Linked DNA regions of Daphnia pulex. The protein of the gene in region 2 binds, or shares a complex with, the protein of the main gene of each other region. Links are inferred from orthologs where the notes say so. Each region holds a gene or a part of one and is shown on either strand. Other genes may lie near its edges.

Region 1 (9,925 bases), on a different chromosome or scaffold from region 2:
ACTCGCTCAGCCCGGAGATCCCAAATGGCTGGATGACATCCGAAAAGATTTACATCGACAATTCCCCATGCACGAGATGTTTGCCGATTCCAATGGACCTGGGTAATTAAAGCAATAATGCTTCTCAATTATCGCTATAGTATACATTCTACTATTGTTTTTTTAAATTAAATTTAGTCAGGTGGAATTATTTCGGGTACTAAAAGCCTACACGATTCTCAACCCTGTGGATGGTTACTTTCAAGGGCAGGCTCCTGTTGCAGCTATGCTCGTTATGCACATGCCTGCAGAGGAAGCATTCTGGTGTATGGTTGCAATCTGTGAACGTTATTTACCCGGATATTATAGCCAAGGCCTAGTAATTAGATTTTATTGAATTTCATGCCTAAAATTTATTTTTTTAAATGGAATTTTAACATTAGGAAGCAGTTCAAATCGACGGTGATGTTCTGGTAGCTCTTTTGAGAAAAGTATCACCTTCCATCCATCGCCATTTAGTAATAATTAGCACATGATTCAAGTAAATTTCAGAATTGTCATCTTTTAATTATCTTGTTTGTATTTTTATAAAAGACGAAACAAAAATTAGATCCTGTGCTTTTCATGATGGAATGGTTCATGTGCATCTACACCCGTACGCTTCCCTGGTCCTCTGTACTCCGCGTCTGGGACATGTTCTTCTGCGAAGGTATTTCTAACCGCTGGCATTTTATCCGCCTTTTTTTAAATTTGCAATGTGTCTTTAGGGGTCAAAGTGCTCTTCCGGGTTGGCTTGGTCATCTTGAAGTACAGTTTCATGAAACCCAAGACGATGAAGGAGTGCCCGACAATGTACGAATCGATGGAAGTCTTGCGTCACCTCCATACGAGCGTCACGGAAGAAAACGTTCTTGTTCCTCGCGTAATTTGCATAACCTTTCAACAAAATCTATTTGATTATCTAATTGAATTATTGCGATTGATAGATGTTGAAGCTGCCCATCAACGAAGAAGAGATGGAACGTGTACACAAGAAAGTAGTCGAGCAAAGGAAGAAAGCTGCTTCTTCCCCTCAAGGCAATTAAAAATGCCATGCCTTATTTCCTTTTTGCTTCCTTTTCCCGTTAAAAGACAGAGTATATCATAGAGGGTATTATCTCGTTAAATGTAAGAAAGACCGAACAGACGCGGTTTCATATTTTCGTTTTTCTATCCCGTCAATCAACCAAAGACCTTTTTGGTTATTTTTCTCCCCCTTTTTCTTTTTGTTATTTGCGACGTGTTTGGACCACTTGATTGAATCTTCCCCTCATCCATCCTACTCCCGCCTCTATCCCGCGTTGTGTTTCCAGTCGGTGCTTTATATAAAATAATCCTATGTCGATAGAAAAAAGATAAACCATTTTTGCACTTTTTTGATAGATATTTTGTTATATATTTTGCAATGTGTGTTTTCCCTTTGAAATTTCATTCATTAACAAACGATTTAGTTTTATTTTAGTCGGAACGTAGCACGTTACTTGTTGCCATTCTTCGCCTGCGGCTAAAAAAACGAAAAAAGGAAACGCCAATTGAAGAACAAATTGAAAACGTGATTGAAATCTCCGAAAATTTACCAAAACATAAATGTGGGTAGGGACGTAACGGCTGACCAGCTCATCTAGAACCGTCTGATCCATCTCCGCTACTTGATCGATGGCCGACGTCGTGGTTTTCAACTGGAGTGGAGGCAAAGCCACAAAACCGGACAACAGCGGATACAAGTTGTATTTGAGTTCGTACTCATCTTCTGGATAAATCTGAATCTTAATCTTAAAATGACAAAAACCAGACAATTTAAATTGTGAACATTGTGAACAAAAATGTTTTGGAAAACTTTACTTGTTTGTTTCCAGAAAACATGAAAGCGTCATTGGAACTCATGTAGACATCCAGTTCAACGTAGCTAGTGCCTGGATTGTGAATGATGATAGCCATGTTCATTGACTCTCGAACGTATCCGTGAGCAGGTAGTTTGACTTGAATTCGCAACGGAATGCTCCAGGTTTCCATTTCGGGTAAGTCGAACGAACTGGCCGAGTAAGGAATTTTATATCCTTCCACTTTTGATTGATTCGCCCTAAATTTGCCGTGTTAAGTCAAAAATTTCCAGTGCCAACAACAGTGACTTGAAAGATTAATACCTTTTCCATTTCAAAGAGTAGGATCCTGTCCTTATATGGCGATTGTCCCCATTCGAAAGTGAAAGTACGGCCACATCGTTGGCTTTTTCTCCTTTTTGAAGTGTCAACCCAGATAGCTGACTATTGGGCATGGGTTGATTGGTTAGCAATGGGTCAAATTTCCAAACGCCTTGCTCCAGCAGTAAAGGAAATGGCGACAAGTTGGTCACCGTCATCACAGCGACACAAGGCTCTCCTACGGGGATCTGTCTCAATGGCTGGAACTGGATCGTCTGAAACTGAGCCTCACACTCGACGGGTTGGACCGTTTCCAGCTCGAGCGTTTTGACGTACTGACTCTTGTAAGTGCATTTACTATTGCACACCTCGCTGGTTATTTCGTAATTGACCTGAAACGTGACGTAATGTTTACCAGGCTGCTCCATTTGAGTAAACACGTTCCATTGGCATGTTTGCCCGGTTGCGATTTCTTCGCTCTTCAACTGAACCGACAAATTGCCGTCGATTTTAGGCTGGTCGTGAACTCGGCCGTCAGTGCTGCTAGTCGTCACAGTCACCGTGACGTTGCTAATATCTTCTTTTTCCCGATTGACCAATTCAAGGTGAAGCGGATAACATTCACCACGAAGGGCCGGGGCGTCATGTCGGATCAAAAGCTCAACGTTTGCAGTCCGGGGCAGAATTTCGGCCGTGTTCAATACAAACAAACCGGACAAACCTTTCTCTGTAGCCGAAGGAAATTCAGAACGTGATGACCCAAATTCTTCACTGGAAGATCCTTCGCATCGCAAATAAGCCACAAGGTCATGCCCCATCTCCAACGTGACTGAAACAATCTATGGATGGATGAAATTACTTTCTCTTCTTCAATTGCCAATCAAAGTTAAACCTACTTGAAGTTCCGCACCAATGTCTTGAGATTGCGCAGCAAATTCAAACTCGTAGTGTCGGATCTGATTGGGTTCAAATTCCAACTCTTCCGGATCCTTCACTTGACAAAAGGGCAAATAGGCAGTATTGTTGAGAGCCACGTGTAAACTGGTGAACTGTATCGCCTTTGGACCCGTATAACTATTATGAAATTAAAGTTATTATTAAATTTGTATTTCAAGAGTAATTCCAACTCTTTACCTAACGTGAACTTCGAGTTCGACAACATCTTCGGCAGCAAATTGCTTTTGAGTAAAAGTGGCCTTGACTTCAACGAATGACGAAATCGTGTTGGTAACGATCGTGGTTACGCAGGCGCCGCTGGCCAAACTTGCAAATTGATCAGCCCATAGTTGAGTAGCCAACGAAACCGCGGTAGAGTCGGGAGGCGGCGGTGGTATCCTCTTTTGTAGGATTCCGATGAGATTATCGAATAATTGGCCCTTTTCATCTTGGCTTTTCATCGTCACCCGGGAACACAATTCTACGGCATATGTGAAGTATTCGGCAGGCCGACCGGAAAGAAAAGCACAACGCAAACCCAACTGGAGTAAAGATGTCAGTGGCATCCACCAGAAATCTTTGCGGTAATCCCAGAGCAAAGGTTCGAGCAACCTATACAAAGCGTTAATTTCCATTAATAATAAATTAAAATAAAAGTTGAAGTCAATTTTTATTACGTAAGGGCTTCCGCAAAGTTTTCCGATCGGCAATATTCTTCCGCCATTTGTACCACTAGGAGAAGAAAAATTTTAGTTTGCTCTGATACTGACTTTTAAAAGTGTAAGTGATAAATTACATAAATACTGCTTCATCCGAGGAGATCGGTGATTTTTAAATTGATTTACTGCATTTGTAAGAGCAGCAACGATCATACCCTACACACCAAGTTAAAATCGCTTATCAAAATAGGAAATGTTTTAATAAAAGGCAGTACCGTGAGATCAACTTGATGTCTTTCGCGGATTAACATTGCAGCAATCCCGTCGTTCTCAGCTTTCATATCAGCTGGTTCAAGACTCAACCGACTAGGTCGCCAGGGTCTTTGACCGAAGAATTCCAATTGTGACGATTCGCCGAACGATAATGGAGTCAAGTTATTAATGACAGTTTCGTCGAGAGCATCGTAATCTTGGTAGCAAGCCTTCTTCCTTAGGATGGATTGCTGCGCAGACTGTTGGTAGAAGAAGCCAGGATGTTGAGTCTGGATTGCCGGAAGTCCTAACTCAATCGCATCGTCAAACAAACTGCCAAACGTCGAAAATCTAAACAAAAGAATTCGTAAAATTTAATGAAAAATAATTTTTGAAATAAATTTTATTTTAATTTTACTGGGCAGCCAGCCAGGCGTGATGTTCGAATTTGCTCAAAGGGTTACCAATCCGCAGCCGAAAAAAGTCCATGTGACTCCTGAAATGGGCGATAGCTTCGCGAGGCAGATTGAGCAAGAACGAGAGACGCCAGACCTTGTAGCCGATGTATCCAGCGACAATCTTCACTTCAGTGACATTGGCATCTGTGATGCGAAGCTCTAGCAAATGGGCATACGATTGGCTGTAATGCTTGTGCGCCATGGCAACGTCCTGCTTAAGCTCGTGGTAAAATCCGATTTTAAACTGATGTCTCACAAACAAGTAGCCGTGATTTGTACGGTTCAATTGGTCGCGGTGGGAGCGAACGGCCCTCGATGACAAATGATAACTACTTTGACAAAGTTCGTAAAATGCGCTCTCCAACCTGTTTCGTAGTATAGTGTAACATTATATAACTCACGACTACATTTAAAATAACGTGATACCTCAAGGTGTATCCCTGTAGATGATCGCTACGGCAAGGAAGGACAAAGAGCGATTTAGGTGGTAATTCACACACTTGGCACAAAGCTGCAGCTCTATCTGCTGCCAAAATATCTTCACTGGAAGGTAATGGAGGGCTATTTTGTAAGAGGACTAGGCAGAGCTTACTACCCCTTCCCATAAGCTTCATACTGGATAGAAAAATTATAGTTAATAACAAAATATTTGAGTTCAAGTTTATGACTGAATGATTTACCGAGTTGTTTGGATTAGATGTGCACATTCTGCATGTTTAGCTTTCCATGCAGGATCGTCCCACTCCAAATCATAGAAGAGAACCAAGACACCTGGAATCTGTTTCAGGTGTTTGGACATCCATTTTCTTTTGAGGATGCCTTTAGGAATGTACCATTCATATGACGTTCTCTAAAACAAATGAGTGAAAAACAAACATTTAAAAAAAACTTTGATCTCTCAACCTAAAAGATAAATTACATCAGGTTTCGCCAGGGGGAATGCATGATTAACTCCAAAAAGAACGAAATGGAGGGGAGGTCTCTCGCTTCGATTAGATGACGTGAAAGAGTTCCATATCAGCAGGTGAGTCTGATTCGTTTCAACATTCAGTCCCGTCAGACCGACCAACGCTAACGGTCGATCCACCAACTCTTCGGGTAATTCGAGATCCGAGCTCATTATTTTTCTAACTTCAAGGGCGATGATGAACAATGTGTAAAAACCATGAGAAGCCAAAACAAAACTACGAACAATTTCCACCCTAAAACTCTACCCCGGTAGCAGACGAAATATCAAACATAGAAAAACAAAAAATAATGCTGTATTGCCAGTTTGCCAATTTTCAAAATTTAAGGTAAACTTTCTTTGATATTTTCTTAGTTTGTTTTGTACATACCCTGCACCCAGAACAATGTTAAGACAACGTGGAAGTAATTCGCGGAAATATGCCTTCCTAATTAATTAAGCTTAATTAATTCAATAGGGTTGGAAAACCATTTGAAAACAAACAAAACAGCATGTTGATGGGACATGGGAATGAGTCATGGAACACCCTTTAAAATTCCACGAACTCTTTTATCATTAGGCTTTCGTAGTAATTAACAAATTATTCAAAACAAAATTGTTACTCATCGTACCGATAAGGCTATAACAAAAGAGAACTTCGGACCCCATGCCCCATGCGCAATTAAGAACGGATTCAGAGTTGCCAAATTTTGTCTGACAAATTTAATTTTTATTGAACCCATCCCTTGATTTGCCATAAAGAAAATAATCTTAGTTTATTACTCGCCCCTTGTTACAGATTGCAGTCGAAAAACGCCGCGCTGTAAGAGCGTCGTCACGTGTCACCTTTATTAATTCCAATTGGTACTAGTTTTATCGGTGGTTCTTTTGGCATTTAATTTAAGGTACATCAATTCTTCTCATTACTTTATTTGCAATGTTATTAAATTATTCCACGAGGTGTTAGGTTAACAAGGAAAATGGCTAGACATTTGCAATCGACACCATCAATCGTCGTGGAAGATGTCGACCGAATTCAGACTCGTTTGGAATTTCAGTCTCCACCATCGTATACACTAAAGATCCAAGACAACAACAACTGTCATTCGCCATTGAGTCTGTGTACCAGTTTCGGCATAATCAAACCCGATGTCGACGCTTATGTCACGCCCCTCTCTCTTTGCCAACAACCGTCGACGCCGATTTCACCTTCCGTCCCAGTTTACTTTCCAGTTGAGTTTACTTGTGCAGCAATTTGTTTTGTTGTATTGCTTAAACTAATTGATTGAAAATTGAATCGACAGTCGAGAGAAAAAGTCATTGTGGTGTCTGGTGGTGCGATGCCGCCATGCTTGGCCACGTCAGGATTGGAGAGCAGCTTCACTTCCGTCGATATTGGCGGCCCAAATCATCCAACCGCTAGATCATCTATTGGCGATAATGATTCGAGTTGGAATTCCGATGTTAGCCATCAAACCACTGGTTGCTTCGATCTCAAGTAAATTTTTCTTTCCATAACTTTATGGTATTTTTAGTGTTTTAATTGAAATTTCTTGAACTGATAGATCGGGTCTGATTTGCGTAACACGGGCTATTACTGGTAGTGTCGATCCAACAAGAGAAAAGTGTGATCACCACCGAGTCGACATGAGTGAAAGTCCTTTAGAATTGCATCCAGTCAAATCTGGACGACCATCAGCTGGGGTGCATGGGTCCAAGAAAAGAATGTCGGCGTGTTCCATGATTGGCATTTTCTTCATCTGCCTCGCAGTAGTCGGACTAGTCGCTATTGGAATCGCAATGTACATCGAATGTAAGGGTTTATTTGTTTTTTTACTTTTTGATCTTCGTTACCAAAAAGACAATCGCTTTTATTTCAATTGTTTTTCCAGTCGTGTCGAAGCCGTTGTGGATCGCGAAAAGTAAGTTACCGGTATTGAACGAGACGACGATATGCGACTATTTGCTTGACAGCTGTGATAATAGCACTTTGTTGGCTACCACTGCTGCTGAGCTAACTGCTGGCAATCAAAAAAGTAAATTAAGGAATCATGTTTTTGCAAATTTGAAGGGAAGGCTAATATTTTATTCTGTATTAGATTTCACATTGGAAAGCGGTAGAGTGGAAGCGACATTTAGCAGCAATTTTACCAGCCAAATCTCCAGCAAACTTCCTGCAAAAACAGCATGAATAATCTAGTCCTTTGAGAGACTACTCACGTTTTATTTTAAACACTGAACGAAATTTATGGTGTCGAAAAGAAATTGATATGATTTTAGATTCTTGATTGTTTATTTGCAAATTTTATGTATATGATGAGCGCATTTTATCACACAATACAGTATTAAAATTTTATTTCTCAACATTTTGAAGTTTGAATGCTTTTCATTACAGCTATGTGGCGCCATGTACGGCATTTTCATGAACCATAACTTCCGCATAATGGTAGTAAGATACATGGCCTTCATTTCTATCAGTCTTTACCGAAAGTAAGATTAGCAGAGCCATAGATACCTGGTCGGTTCTCGGCTGTGTTGGCTTCCCTATCCCGGTTTCAGGGTAAACGTATCCCCGATTTTCAGACATTTTAGGGCGGAGCTTGTCAGAAGTTGTGAAGTGGAAAAATGAATCAGCGCCATCTAGTGATAAGACGTTGACTTTCAAATAATACTTTCGGCGGCCATTTTTGTGTAATATGTGAATACGTTCGCCATCATCGTGTATTACGTGAATGAAGCCTAACCATAATTTCTGTAAAAATGGTTGGCAGGCGTGCTGTTCCTGGTTGTAAATCAACATATTTCAAAGGAAATCAAAAAGAAAACGAGGTTACCCTGTTTGCAATTCCTAAAACTTCATTATCAAAATGGCGAGAACTAATTCCATGTAGTAATTTGACGAGTACATATTTGCTCCCATCATTTTAACGAAAGTGACTTTCAAACAGGGATTGAAATTTTGAACGTGTTCCATCCTTACAAACGGTGGACTCTTAATGCTGGAGCAATGCCCTGGAAACCAACATTTTCTGTTAAATGGTAGTAATATTGTATGTTCTGTACAATCTGTAATGCACAGAAACCGAACCATTTTCATTTTAGATACATCTAGTCAACAAGTAATGCAAAATGTTGATGTTTTCAAATGGAGAAATAACGTAAGTGGTATTTTTACATATGTTTATTTTGTTTAATATTAAATAACAATTCTTGAATATATATTGTAGTGGAAGCTCCCTGGATCATGTGTGAGCTAATGCAGTTGATGGTCAATTTGTGGCATGTACTCTATGAAGCTGAGCCAAACTATGCTACGTTTAACAAATACGCCCGAGTATTATGCTCCGTCGCTTCACACATTCACGAATCCAAAAGCATCATTCAAGCAGCTCAGGAGAAGGATTTGAAGACCGTCTGGTTTGTTACCCCTCCCTGCATGCTGAATGTTAAATTGATGCGACAGCTCGTTGAAGTCTCATCCCGCTTTGTGAGTAATCTTCCCGATCTAAAGGATCATTTGGCAGTAGTTGAAAGTTCCAAAAAGAAATCCTCGGCTTGCCCAACAGAACTTAGTCGAAACTGGGAACGAAGACACAGGTATATGCGAGAACTTATGGACCAAGAAGAGACAAATGTTTCAACCAGATATAATGTGCACAAATTATTGTCTTTAGCTGAATGTGGTGTTTGAAATAACAATGACAATTTTGTTTGCATACAAGGAGAACTTCGTGATACGATTTCTTTTATTTTTCATATCCACTACAGCATTTCTTTGCCATTAGATGTACATATTTGTTTCCCACTATAACGCAGCCAACTTAAAATTTCTAGACGGGTTGTTTAAGGAGAGTGGTGTAACGTTCAATCTTTGATGCCAAACTCATGTCGATGTAGCGATCTCCAAGGACAACTACAAGTCCACCAACAATGGAGGGATCCACCTTGGTTGAAATCTTGAGACTGTCCTTTCTGCAAGAATCCAGAAAGAGCGGCAGTAACCTCTTTCAATGTAGCAGCATCCAAGGCCTTGATATAAGAATAGATTTTTTTAAACATGTAATTGTTTAATGTTTTTTAGATTTATATTTTACCTTGGCTGAGGTGACCTCACATACAACTTCACCTCTGAATGCAGCCATCATGTTAAAGAAATGGCCAGTGACAACATCCAATTTGTTAAGTCTTCCATTCTCAGCAAGGAGTTCTGTAATCATAAACATATGAATAACAATTAGAATGAAGTGAAAACCAATAGAAAAGAAAAACTTACCAAGGAAGTTGCCTGTAACAGCACTCATTTTCAATTTCTTGGCAACTGAAATAAGAGCATCTTTCTTAAGTGATCTCTTCAAAGTGGGGTTGGCAATGAATTCTGCCAAACGAGATCTTTGGCAATAGTTGCATGAAAGTCCTTCAACTCGCTCTCAACTTTGTCCAAAGATTTCTGTTTGGAAGCAGCAGAGTAGAGTGCTGAGGCATAGCGACCATACAACCCAAAAACTTGGACTGGAG
Region 2 (9,925 bases):
GAGTAGTCCATGGACAACGACTTGGTAACTAGAACTAGAACTTAAGTTGGTCGCTAGGGAATGGAAGCCCAAAACCGCCACTTTTTCAATATAATAATGATTTTCAAAATATCATTACATAAAACAGAAAAGAATATATAAAAAACAAATTCAATATAAAACTGAAAAAAGTATTATATAAAAACCAAAAAGAGTGTAATATAAAAAACAAAAAGTTGATATAAAAAGCAAAAAAAGTCAATATAAAACCCAAAAAAAAGTCAATATATATAAAAAATATTCAATATATATAAAAAAAATTCAATATAAAAACTGAAAATGTATTATATTAAAACCAAAAAGAATATAATATAAAAAAACAAAAAGTTGATATAAAAAGCAAAAAAAAGTCAATATAAAACCCAAAAAAAGTTCAATATATAATCCAAAAAAGGTCTATATAAAAACAGCAGCCACCTAGCGATCAAAAGAATCACTTCATGCCACATCTCCACCCCCTTAATAACCAGTTTGAATCCAGTAGTACAAACGGGGATTCTTGCGCGATAAACGCGTATTTGAGCATTTATTTAATCACATAATTAAAAACGAGCAATCGCTTAACTAACGCTACTTAATGCGCGTCGCTCTAAATTATTATTTTTTAAAATGTAATTCGAAGTAAAACGACTGTGGCTGACTGCGGCGACTGGTCAGACGAGTAACGCGAGCCCGTCCGTTTTTTCCAGCGGTTATCGCTGGTCCGTTTGCTATTTTAGCACTGCCGCCCGTCGACTGTTTTCGGTGGCTCATTATAAGCGAAAAATAATCCATTCAAATGTTTTGCGCTAAGCGCGCGTTGCGCTAGCGATTGGTTTGCAATAAACTTGCGCGCGATGCGCTATATTTAGCGCAATTCATTGCATCTCATTTTTACGAAACGCGCAAGCGCTTCGTTAATTAAAGTAAATGGTTCCGGAAAAGAAAACCATTGCGCGACTGGACGAGTAGCGCGTGCCCGTCCATTATTTCAGCGCTTATCACGAGTCAGTTTACTTGTCGTAGCGCTTATCGTCGCCCGTCCGCTGTTTAATAAGGCGACTCGCTGTGCACGGGTTATGCGCGTTTTGTAAATAATACGCATCTTGCGCGCGACACGCTAAATTTTGAGCATTTTATTTAATCTTTAATTAAAAAACGCACAAGCGCTTAAATAATTTGAGCGCTTATTTCTGGTTCTTCAAGCTGTGTTAGCGCTATCGCCCGTCCGCTGTTTTCAGCGGCTCATTATGCGAAAAATAATTAAAACACATTTTCATTCTAGATCTAGCGCTAAATAAACGCGCATGGCGCTAGTGATCTATTTGCGATTTACTTGCGCGCGATGCGCTAAATTATTTAGCGCAATTCATTCAATCGTAGCATTTTATGAAACGCGTAAGCGTTTCGTTAATTTAACTAAATGGTTCAGGAAAAGAAAACCATTGCGTGACTGGCTTCATTATTTCAGCGCTTATCACGAGTAAATTCGCTTGTCGTAGCGCTTATCGTCGTCCGTCCGCTGTTTAAGGCGGCTCGCTGCGCAAAACAATGTCAAAGTTCTAGCGCTGCGAAATCATAAACTCGCTTATGATAAACTTAAGATTAACTTGCGCTCAATGCGCTAAATAGTCGGATTAAGTTCATCACATAAATTACGAAGCGCGCATATAATTTGCTAAAATAAATATTTAGCGATAGATCTAGCGCAAAATATATTGACTTCATTATTTTTCGCGCTAAATATTTATTTTTGCTAGTTATTTGCGTTTGTAAATTATTTAATGAATTTAAATGCGCTTAATTTGACGCATTGCCTGCAAGTAAATCTTTAGTTAATTATTAGCGCAATGGGCGCTTAAGAAAGAAAGCGCTACATCTAGCGCGAACTATTTAAAATGTTTGGCCCAGCGAGCCGTGTAAAACTTTGGACGGACGACGATTAGCGCTAATAAGGTAGCGAACGGACTCGCGACAAACGCTAATATGATGTACGGGCGCACGCTTCTCGTCCCGTCTCGTCCATTTGCGGTAATCGTTTACCCTTTCGCAACATTTTATTAAAATTAACGAAACGCTTGCGCGTTTCCTAAATAATGCAATGAAATAAATTGCCCTAAATATAGCGAATCACGCGCAAGTTTATCGCAAACACATAGCTAGTCCCACGATCGCTTCGATAGCGCTAGATCTAGCGCGAAACATTTCAATTAATTATTTTTCACGCAATGATCCGCCGAAAACAGCGGAAGGAGCAGCGGAAATAGCGGACGGGCTCGCATTACTCGTCTAACCAGTCAGCGCAGTGGTTTCCCTTTGCATTCAATACAAACAAATAATTTAGAGCCATTCGCATTAAGTAGCGTTATTTAAGCGCTTTCGCTTTTTTAAATATAGGATTAAATAATACGCTCAAATTGAGCACATATCGCGCAATAAGCGTTAAACATTTATTTTATCGCTTGCGTGTTTCGTAAGCTATAAACGGACTCGAGACAAGCGCTAAAATTATCAACGGGTGTGCGCAACTTGTCCAGTCGCCGCAATCGTTTTACCTGTCGCATTTATTACTTTTATTAACGAAGCGCTTGGGCGTTTCGTAAATAATACAATGAAATAAATTGCGCTAAATATATATTTAGCGCATCGCGCGCAAGTTTATCGCAAACCAATTGCTAGCGCAACGCGCGCTTATTGCAAATCATTTGAATGGCTTATTAGCTTATAATGAGCCGCCGAAAACAGCGAACGGGCGACAGCGCTAAAATAGCAAACGGACCAGCGATAAGCGCTTTTAAAAAATCGGACGGGCTCACGTTACTCGTCTGACCAGTCGCCGCAGTCAGCCGCAGTCGTTTTACTTCGCTTGACATTTAAAAAAATAAAAATTTAGAGCGACGCGCATTAGGTAGCGTTATTTAAGCGCTTGCTCGTTTTTTTATTTTGTGATTAAATGCCCGTTTGTACTACTGGATTCAAACTGGCTATAAAGGGGGTGGAGATGTGGCATGAAGTAATTATTTTGACCGCTAGGTGGCTGCCGTTTTTATATTGAACTTTTTTGGGATTATATATTGAACTTTTTGGGGGTTTTATATTGACTTTTTTTTGCTTTTTATATCAACTTTTTGTTTTTTATATTACACTCTTCTTGGTTTTTATATAATACTTTTTTCAGTTTTATATTGAATTTGTTTTTTATATATTCTTTTCTGTTTTATATAATGATATTTTGAAAATCATTATTATATTGAAAAAGTGGCGGTTTTGGGCTTCCTTAGTGAAATTAACCCAACCCGACAGGCTTTAACACGGCGAGGGAAAGAGTCCCGTCCTTAGGGCTGTGGCCCGGGCGATGAAAACCCGGGCCACCGCCCGGGCTGAACGAAAAAAAACCCAACCCGACTCGACCCACCGAGGCATTTTTTTTAACGGGGCGGGCGACGGGTTGAACCCCCGGGCCCGCGGGCCAACCCGAGCGGTGGCGCCATCTAGTAGTCAAATAGAGAAGCTCGTTATTCTCTATGCCTGCGGCCTCAAAATATTGCCGCCAAATGCTCTACGATAATTTCGTAGCATGAAAAGTAAGATAAGTGGTAGAAAAGGGCGTTCAGGGGTGTTCAGAAGACAGAATTGACGTGTCACTGTTGGAAGAAGAAGATAATTAAGAAATTTAGGGATTTTTTTTAAGTTTGTAAAAAAAAAGTGTGTTTGACCCGATTTTTTACCCGGGCCGTTACCCGACCGGTATAAATTTTTTGACCCATGGGTTGGCCCGGGCCAAACCCGGTCACTCAGTTGGCCCAACCCGCTACGACCCGCGGAAGAAGAAAAACCCGTCTAAAAAACCCATTAAAAAAAAACCCGCTAAAAACGTCCCGGGCCACAGCCCTACCCGTCCTCTTAAATAGAGTAGTCCATGGCCTGGTTATAAACTGTATGTGGTTTTGCTGTTTCGACTTCACGATTGTTTTCAATTTTCTAGACAAGAACAGTAACTAGTCATTTCAGGTTAGATTTACTGGTGTCGATGCTTGATGGTGTCATGGGAAAGGAGCAGAATTAATTTTTGAATTAATTTTAATGACACAGTTTGAGTATTGACACACTTGAAAATTGAAGTAAAAATCTTCATTATTATTTAACATATTCATTACGGTTTCATATTTGTTTCATAACAGGTTTTAAGAAGAAGAATTCTGGAAGTGATTGATAATAACGTTATCATTTCTGTGTTGTTCAGTTCAACGCAAACAAGGAAGAAAACTATAACAACTTATATCCTCATGCGATCCGCTGTTAGTGCAATTTTGTCATCTCCAGCTCCTGAGTCAAATATGTCTCACCCAGATTATAGACAAGTAAACAATTATGTTAAAAAATATGAAAATACATCTCATTTCCAATTTTAATTCCAGACAGCCCATGATCATGCTTCCTTATTAATTATGGTGAGGCATCTTGGGTCAAAGCTCAACACCAGAAACTTTTCTAGACTCTATGAACGAATATCAAGGCAAAACAGTTTTAGGATTAAAGATAGCTCAGGAAGTGTGAGAAATATTTCAGCCCGCTATGTAAGATCCTATCCTATTGAAAACAACGAATGGGGAGATTTCCAGGTGAGTTATATTTTGGAACATAAATTTTCACAATTTTTATAGACCTTGGAATTTAGACCCATCGTAGAGTTCTTGGCCTTATTTGTGTTGGTGAATGCTCAAACACACAGGAAGTGAGTGAACTGAGCAAAATTCATGAATCTTTAAGATCAAAATTCAGTGGAACTTTGTATGATTCATGCTGCCTTTTTCTGGGGCTACAACATGATGGTAAGTGATAGAATTTGGTTTTCAAATTATGTTATCTTGAGATAAGTTATAAAGGTTAAGTGTTTCCTATTTAATTTTGTTCTGTCTGTTGAAAGGTACACCTTATGTGTCGTCAGTTTCAGAAGCTTCTCCAAACGAGAAACAGCAGCTAGAGCTCTCCAAAGATCCTGAGCATTCAACCTTGCCAATGAAAAATCACAACACACAGATAGAAATACCTTCTTTAACTGATAAAGAAAGGGCAATTACTTGTGACATCAGTCACCAAGATAGTTTTAATGAAACATCAACATCTACAAACTATGATAACATCAGTAAAGTTGTATCTCATCCATCTCGTACTCTCTATTATCCTAGTCTTGACAAATGTGTCACTCTAGAAGCAGATTTACAGGTACTATAACTTGAAGTGCTAAAGCTTTTGATTTCAGTTCATTCTAATTTAGTTTGTTGTGTCAGGATTTTGTTTCTTCCCTTTTTTGGGTATTGGAATCGAAAAGGCTTGTATCGATCAGCAACATCGACAAGGAAAAGCAGCCGTTTTTGTGCGCACCATTCGAACGAAAGGATTTAATTGGTATTAAAAACATTTTTAGGATAACCCAGGTGACATATTGTGTTATCCCTCTCTCAGGAATGGATTTAGAATCTCGAACTCATCGAAAACGTTGTGTTGGTCGATGGAGAAAGCAAGTAGGAGATTTATCTCTTCAGGCAGGTTTGTTATCCGAAGCACTTGAACAGTATCAGGCGGCAGCGGATGTCCTTAGACCTGCGAATGATTGGTACTGAAAGAAATTTAATTTTCTACCAAGTTAGTAGATGATTCGTTTAATGTTCAATAGGCTTTGGCTGGCTGGATCTTTTGAAGGACTTTGCGCTGCATCGATCATACTCTTATATCCTCATCTACGGAGGCCCGTCGCCATCCAGAGAAACGGGTCGTTAACGGGGGAAGGATTTAATAGTCGAATCAGGTATAAACAACATCGCATATGAGTGTATTTTAAATAATAAGGGAAATTCCCAAGCTAAGCAATTGTATTACGTAAGAAATGGTGGCAAAAAACCACAAAAAAATATTAAAATAAAAAACAAAACAAAAAACCTTTCCTTTGTTTACGTTTCGGCGTGATATACCTTGTACACATATTAATTTCCTTTGAGTTTGCTAAAATTCATCAATACGATTTCCTTCAGGTCAAATTCTTCCGGAGTAGGAGTGCGTTCTCTTCCTCCTGATATTGATTCTAATCACCATTTTTTGAAGAATCGGTTGAAATTCAAACATTCCCTTGGACCGGATGAAGTGATTGAAAAGTACCATGAAGCCGTTGTTCATTACTCCAAGTATCGCAATGCAGGAGTTATAGAAACAGAAGCGTCCATAAAAGCTGTCCATGTACTTATTGAACAGGTTCGATTTTTTTTTTTCTAGTTCTTTTCAAAAAGCTGACTTTTCTGTTTTGGCAGAGGAAATACCTTTCGGCTGCTGAATTTTTACAAAATGTTGTTTTTATCAACTTACACCTATCTGATGAAGAAAAGGTTTCAGAACTTTCATGTACCATAATTTATCGATTGAATTGCTTTAAAAATATCAGTTCACATTCTAGATTCAGAGATTTACTGCCCTTTCAGAACTCTACAGTCAATTAGGATTTAAACGGAAAAGCTCATTTTTCCGCCGCGTGTCCGCAATGCGTTGTGTTGCCCCAATGACAACAATTCAACCCAACTGGACACTTTGTTATCAGCTTCTTCTTGAGTCTATTGACGGATATAAACTCTCACTGGATCCTGCATTGCTATCTCATGGTTAACAAATTTTAATACATTTTCTTCATGTGAATATTATCCTTTTTAAATGCTAACAGAACACGCATGTGGGTGGCACGCGCTTCAAGTTCAAATTTTACAAGAACTTACCGGGACTGCAAGGCGATTAGGAAATGTTCCATTGGCCATTCGTCATGCTTCTTTGCTTGTTCACTTGCTTTTGATCCAGCAGCAACAAGTTGGTGCTATTCCAATATTGTCAAGCCAAGAGCAAGCCGAAATGGCTAAGCAGCTTGATCAGCTAGCACAACGCTCAGAAATGCCATTGCATCCTGGGCCACTTGCTCTAGAAAATGGCACCATTATTCCACCGGTGTCCTTAACTCTTTTACCCAAAATTGTTCATTTCAAACTGCAACCACCTGGAGCTGTATTGGCTGCTCAGAGGCTAATGCTCGAAGACGAAATCAACAATGGCCCCTTTTTGTTTACTCCTATTCAGTTTGGGTCTTTCAGAAAGCAACCAACAAGAAAAACTCTAGTTGAAATGGGTCTGTGATTTTATTATTTTTTAAATAAAAAATAATTTGCCAATAATTTTTTTCGAGTTTTAGATTTTCAATGGGTAGAAGGTGATCATTGCGAAGTATTAATACAAGTTATTAATCCTTCTTCTTATGAATTACGCATTACGAATATGCAATTGTTGACGGAGGATGTAGAGTTCGAGTCAGAATCCAGCTGTATCATTCTCCCTCCAGCTGTTGATCAAAAAACAACTCCCACAGTTATAACTTTGAGTGGTAATGTTGGTTTTTCTTCATCCTGCTATTGTCGTCTTTTCTTCGTGCTAAATAAACCTTTTTTTTTCAGGCATTCCACGCAGACCCGGACTTCTCAAAATTGTAGGCTATTCAATGACTGTGCTTGGTTTGAGAAACCACTGCAAATTGAAAAGTGCTATGCCATTAATGGGCAGTGCTTTTTTTTCTATTCATGTGGTCCCTGCTTTACCACGATTATCTGTTGAAATCGCATCGCCAAATCAGTAACTTTTTTACATACCGCTGCGCAATTATTTATTATTTCTAAACTAAATACTAATTGTTTCCATAAATTTTTGTAGTACTTTAATGACCATATCTGAATCTCAATCTGTAGCAACGACTAGTTCAGTACAGTTGTATGCTGGCCAGAGTACGGAGTGTAATCTAACTTTGGTTAATACGAGCAGCGTATCGGTCGAATCTTTTGATTTGGAATTAGTTCATGGTAACAAGTTATCTTCCAGTCAAGTCTTCAGTGTAAGGTAAGCTTTGTAAAATATAACTTTCTTTTTCTTTTTTTTTAAGTTGTTTGAATACCTGCCCAATTATTTTATTCTTCATTTACGGTCTTCAGTGTAGATAATTTAAAGGCTCAGCTTCCATGGCAATCTGGTACAGCCGTAAGTGTCACTGTTTACGTCCAAGGCGCGAGTGATTTTATTTTACCAGCTATCACTGATTATCTCTCAAATCTTCATTCGGGGGATGACTCTAACAGTCTCCCAAGCTTATCAGGTATCATTCGTATTCATTATAGATAGCAAAAATAGGGTTGACTATCGTATTTTATGTGATCTAGGTCCACCATCAATATTTTCGCGATTAAGTAATCATACCACAGTTACTTGTTCCCCAAGGAATAAAGCTAAGCGAGCTGAATCACTAGTATCAGTTCGTTCAGGAACATCTAGTGTCAGATCCGGAGGAAGTAGCAACCTTCGTATTATTGAATGTCAGGGCAACAACCATGTTGTTCCTCGCACCGTTGCAGTTCTACTTAAGCTTCAGTATTCTGGAGGACCTGGATATATTGCAGGATTTTGCCGATCAAATGGCGTCGGTTTAACGGTTGAAATTTTGCCATCAGTCATTATTACAAAGTGGGATGTGCTGCCTGCAGAAACTCCTTCGCACTGTTACCTAGTACTCGACATTCTGAACGCAACCCAACACGGTAACGCAATATTCTTTTCTTTGCTAGGTATTAATATAGTTTAAACATTTCAAGAATAATAGATTGACTGCCCGCGATGAAAGTAAAACACATGCTATTATCATTCTGTCCGCCGTAGTTGGACGATAAGTAAATTTATTTGATCTTCGCTTTTATTTCAACGATACACACGCTGGTTGAAATTTCACCGCCGTTTCGATACACCATATTTAAAATAGTTTTTCTGGATGGCGTTGCATCGTCTCGGATGCACGAGTTTATTTTTTATAGCATCTGTGTAATAAATTCTTGGAATGCATATGAGAATGAGAGTAGTAATGATTTTTTTAAAACATTATTTCTCTCATCAGCTTAACATTAAGTAGCATAGATTAAAATTTAACGTTACAAATTCTTATACTTGCAGAAATGGAGCTACAGTATAGCAGTTGCAAACACATTGCCATAGAAGCGCTTGATACGTGTCGTATTCCAGTACCTGTTGAACGATGTCCATTGGTCAAGCTAACCCATGTTTACACTGAAAAGGACCTGAGTCCAGAACAGCAACTTGAAAAGATTGCCAGGATTTGCAGCGAACATATTTCCTCCTTAGTTGAGCTAAAGTGGAGCTTATCTGGCGTCAATCAAACTTGTACTTCTATCAATGAAAACATTGAACAAAACTCGACTAAAGTAATAAAAGGCAAAGCTTCGTTGAGTGGCCTGCGCATAGCTCCATCTATGCTGGATCTTCTACATATTCCTCCAATTCAGCTGGAGGTGGAACTAAACAATGAAATATGGTCAGCTGAAAGAACCGAATTTATATGTGTAGTGGGAGATGTATTAAATGTAACAGTCGGTTTATTCAATGCATTAAGTAAATTTTTGGGTCCGCTGAATCTTCAAATATCGGTATATCAAGATCTGCAAAATGGCACGTTTCATCGGCGATTAGACACACGCCTGCTTACAATTGGATCAGATCATGCTGTGCTAGAAAAGGTATTTATTTTCCTTATATGCTCCTTTAGTATCAAAATGTCTTATCTGTTTCTGTTTTGCTTTCTTTAAAAAGATGGAGCCAAACAGTAACTACAAACATTGTTGTGGCATAATTTTTTTTACACCGGGGACTTACAAGCTGGATGTTGTCTGCTCACTCAAAATTTCGACTCAAAATAGAGAATCGAAATCTAATCTTCCGTATGATTCAACTAATGAACAACATGTTTGGAAATTTGTCCCCTCGATCGAAATTATCGTGTCCGAACCATTATGATTCGAAAAATGATACAGGCAAATTTTACATG

Evidence for each region. Proteins that work in one complex are often made in the same cells at the same time.
Region 1: trafficking protein particle complex subunit 9-like (region 2) and trafficking protein particle complex subunit 11-like share a complex: the UniProt entries of both Homo sapiens proteins name them as parts of the multisubunit TRAPP (transport protein particle) complex. The link is inferred for Daphnia pulex from reciprocal best matches to the Homo sapiens genes TRAPPC9 and TRAPPC11.

The regions. Positions count from the first base shown.
Region 1 is NC_060025.1:1,284,328-1,294,252, reverse strand, and holds trafficking protein particle complex subunit 11-like, read right to left. Parts: upstream 5,727-9,925; 5' UTR 5,585-5,726; coding exon 5,384-5,584; intron 5,315-5,383; coding exon 5,145-5,314; intron 5,080-5,144; coding exon 4,891-5,079; intron 4,830-4,890; coding exon 4,425-4,829; intron 4,358-4,424; coding exon 4,030-4,357; intron 3,971-4,029; coding exon 3,892-3,970; intron 3,828-3,891; coding exon 3,773-3,827; intron 3,708-3,772; coding exon 3,294-3,707; intron 3,234-3,293; coding exon 3,056-3,233; intron 2,999-3,055; coding exon 2,163-2,998; intron 2,099-2,162; coding exon 1,861-2,098; intron 1,791-1,860; coding exon 1,596-1,790; intron 1,524-1,595; exon of another isoform or gene 1,523-1,523; coding exon 1,496-1,522; 3' UTR 1,436-1,495; downstream 1-1,435. Other genes in the region: TBC1 domain family member 10A-like, read left to right, coding at 1-102, 178-358, 423-497, 574-688, 747-901, 966-1,064; uncharacterized protein LOC124202179, read left to right, coding at 6,391-6,642, 6,715-6,908, 6,976-7,223, 7,303-7,446, 7,510-7,601; ATP synthase subunit O, mitochondrial-like, read right to left, coding at 9,275-9,439, 9,505-9,617, 9,684-9,711. UniProt on the Homo sapiens protein: Involved in endoplasmic reticulum to Golgi apparatus trafficking at a very early stage.
Region 2 is NC_060024.1:7,056,760-7,066,684, forward strand, and holds the start of trafficking protein particle complex subunit 9-like, read left to right. Parts: upstream 1-3,912; 5' UTR 3,913-3,955; exon of another isoform or gene 3,956-4,139; intron 4,140-4,199; 5' UTR 4,200-4,304; coding exon 4,305-4,379; intron 4,380-4,436; coding exon 4,437-4,640; intron 4,641-4,682; exon of another isoform or gene 4,683-4,696; coding exon 4,697-4,850; intron 4,851-4,945; coding exon 4,946-5,244; intron 5,245-5,309; coding exon 5,310-5,427; intron 5,428-5,484; coding exon 5,485-5,635; intron 5,636-5,695; coding exon 5,696-5,827; intron 5,828-6,050; coding exon 6,051-6,267; intron 6,268-6,323; coding exon 6,324-6,398; intron 6,399-6,466; coding exon 6,467-6,668; intron 6,669-6,727; coding exon 6,728-7,180; intron 7,181-7,243; coding exon 7,244-7,432; intron 7,433-7,502; coding exon 7,503-7,677; intron 7,678-7,755; coding exon 7,756-7,938; intron 7,939-8,030; coding exon 8,031-8,191; intron 8,192-8,255; coding exon 8,256-8,630; intron 8,631-9,036; coding exon 9,037-9,617; intron 9,618-9,690; and 2 more. UniProt on the Homo sapiens protein: Functions as an activator of NF-kappa-B through increased phosphorylation of the IKK complex. May function in neuronal cells differentiation. May play a role in vesicular transport from endoplasmic reticulum to Golgi.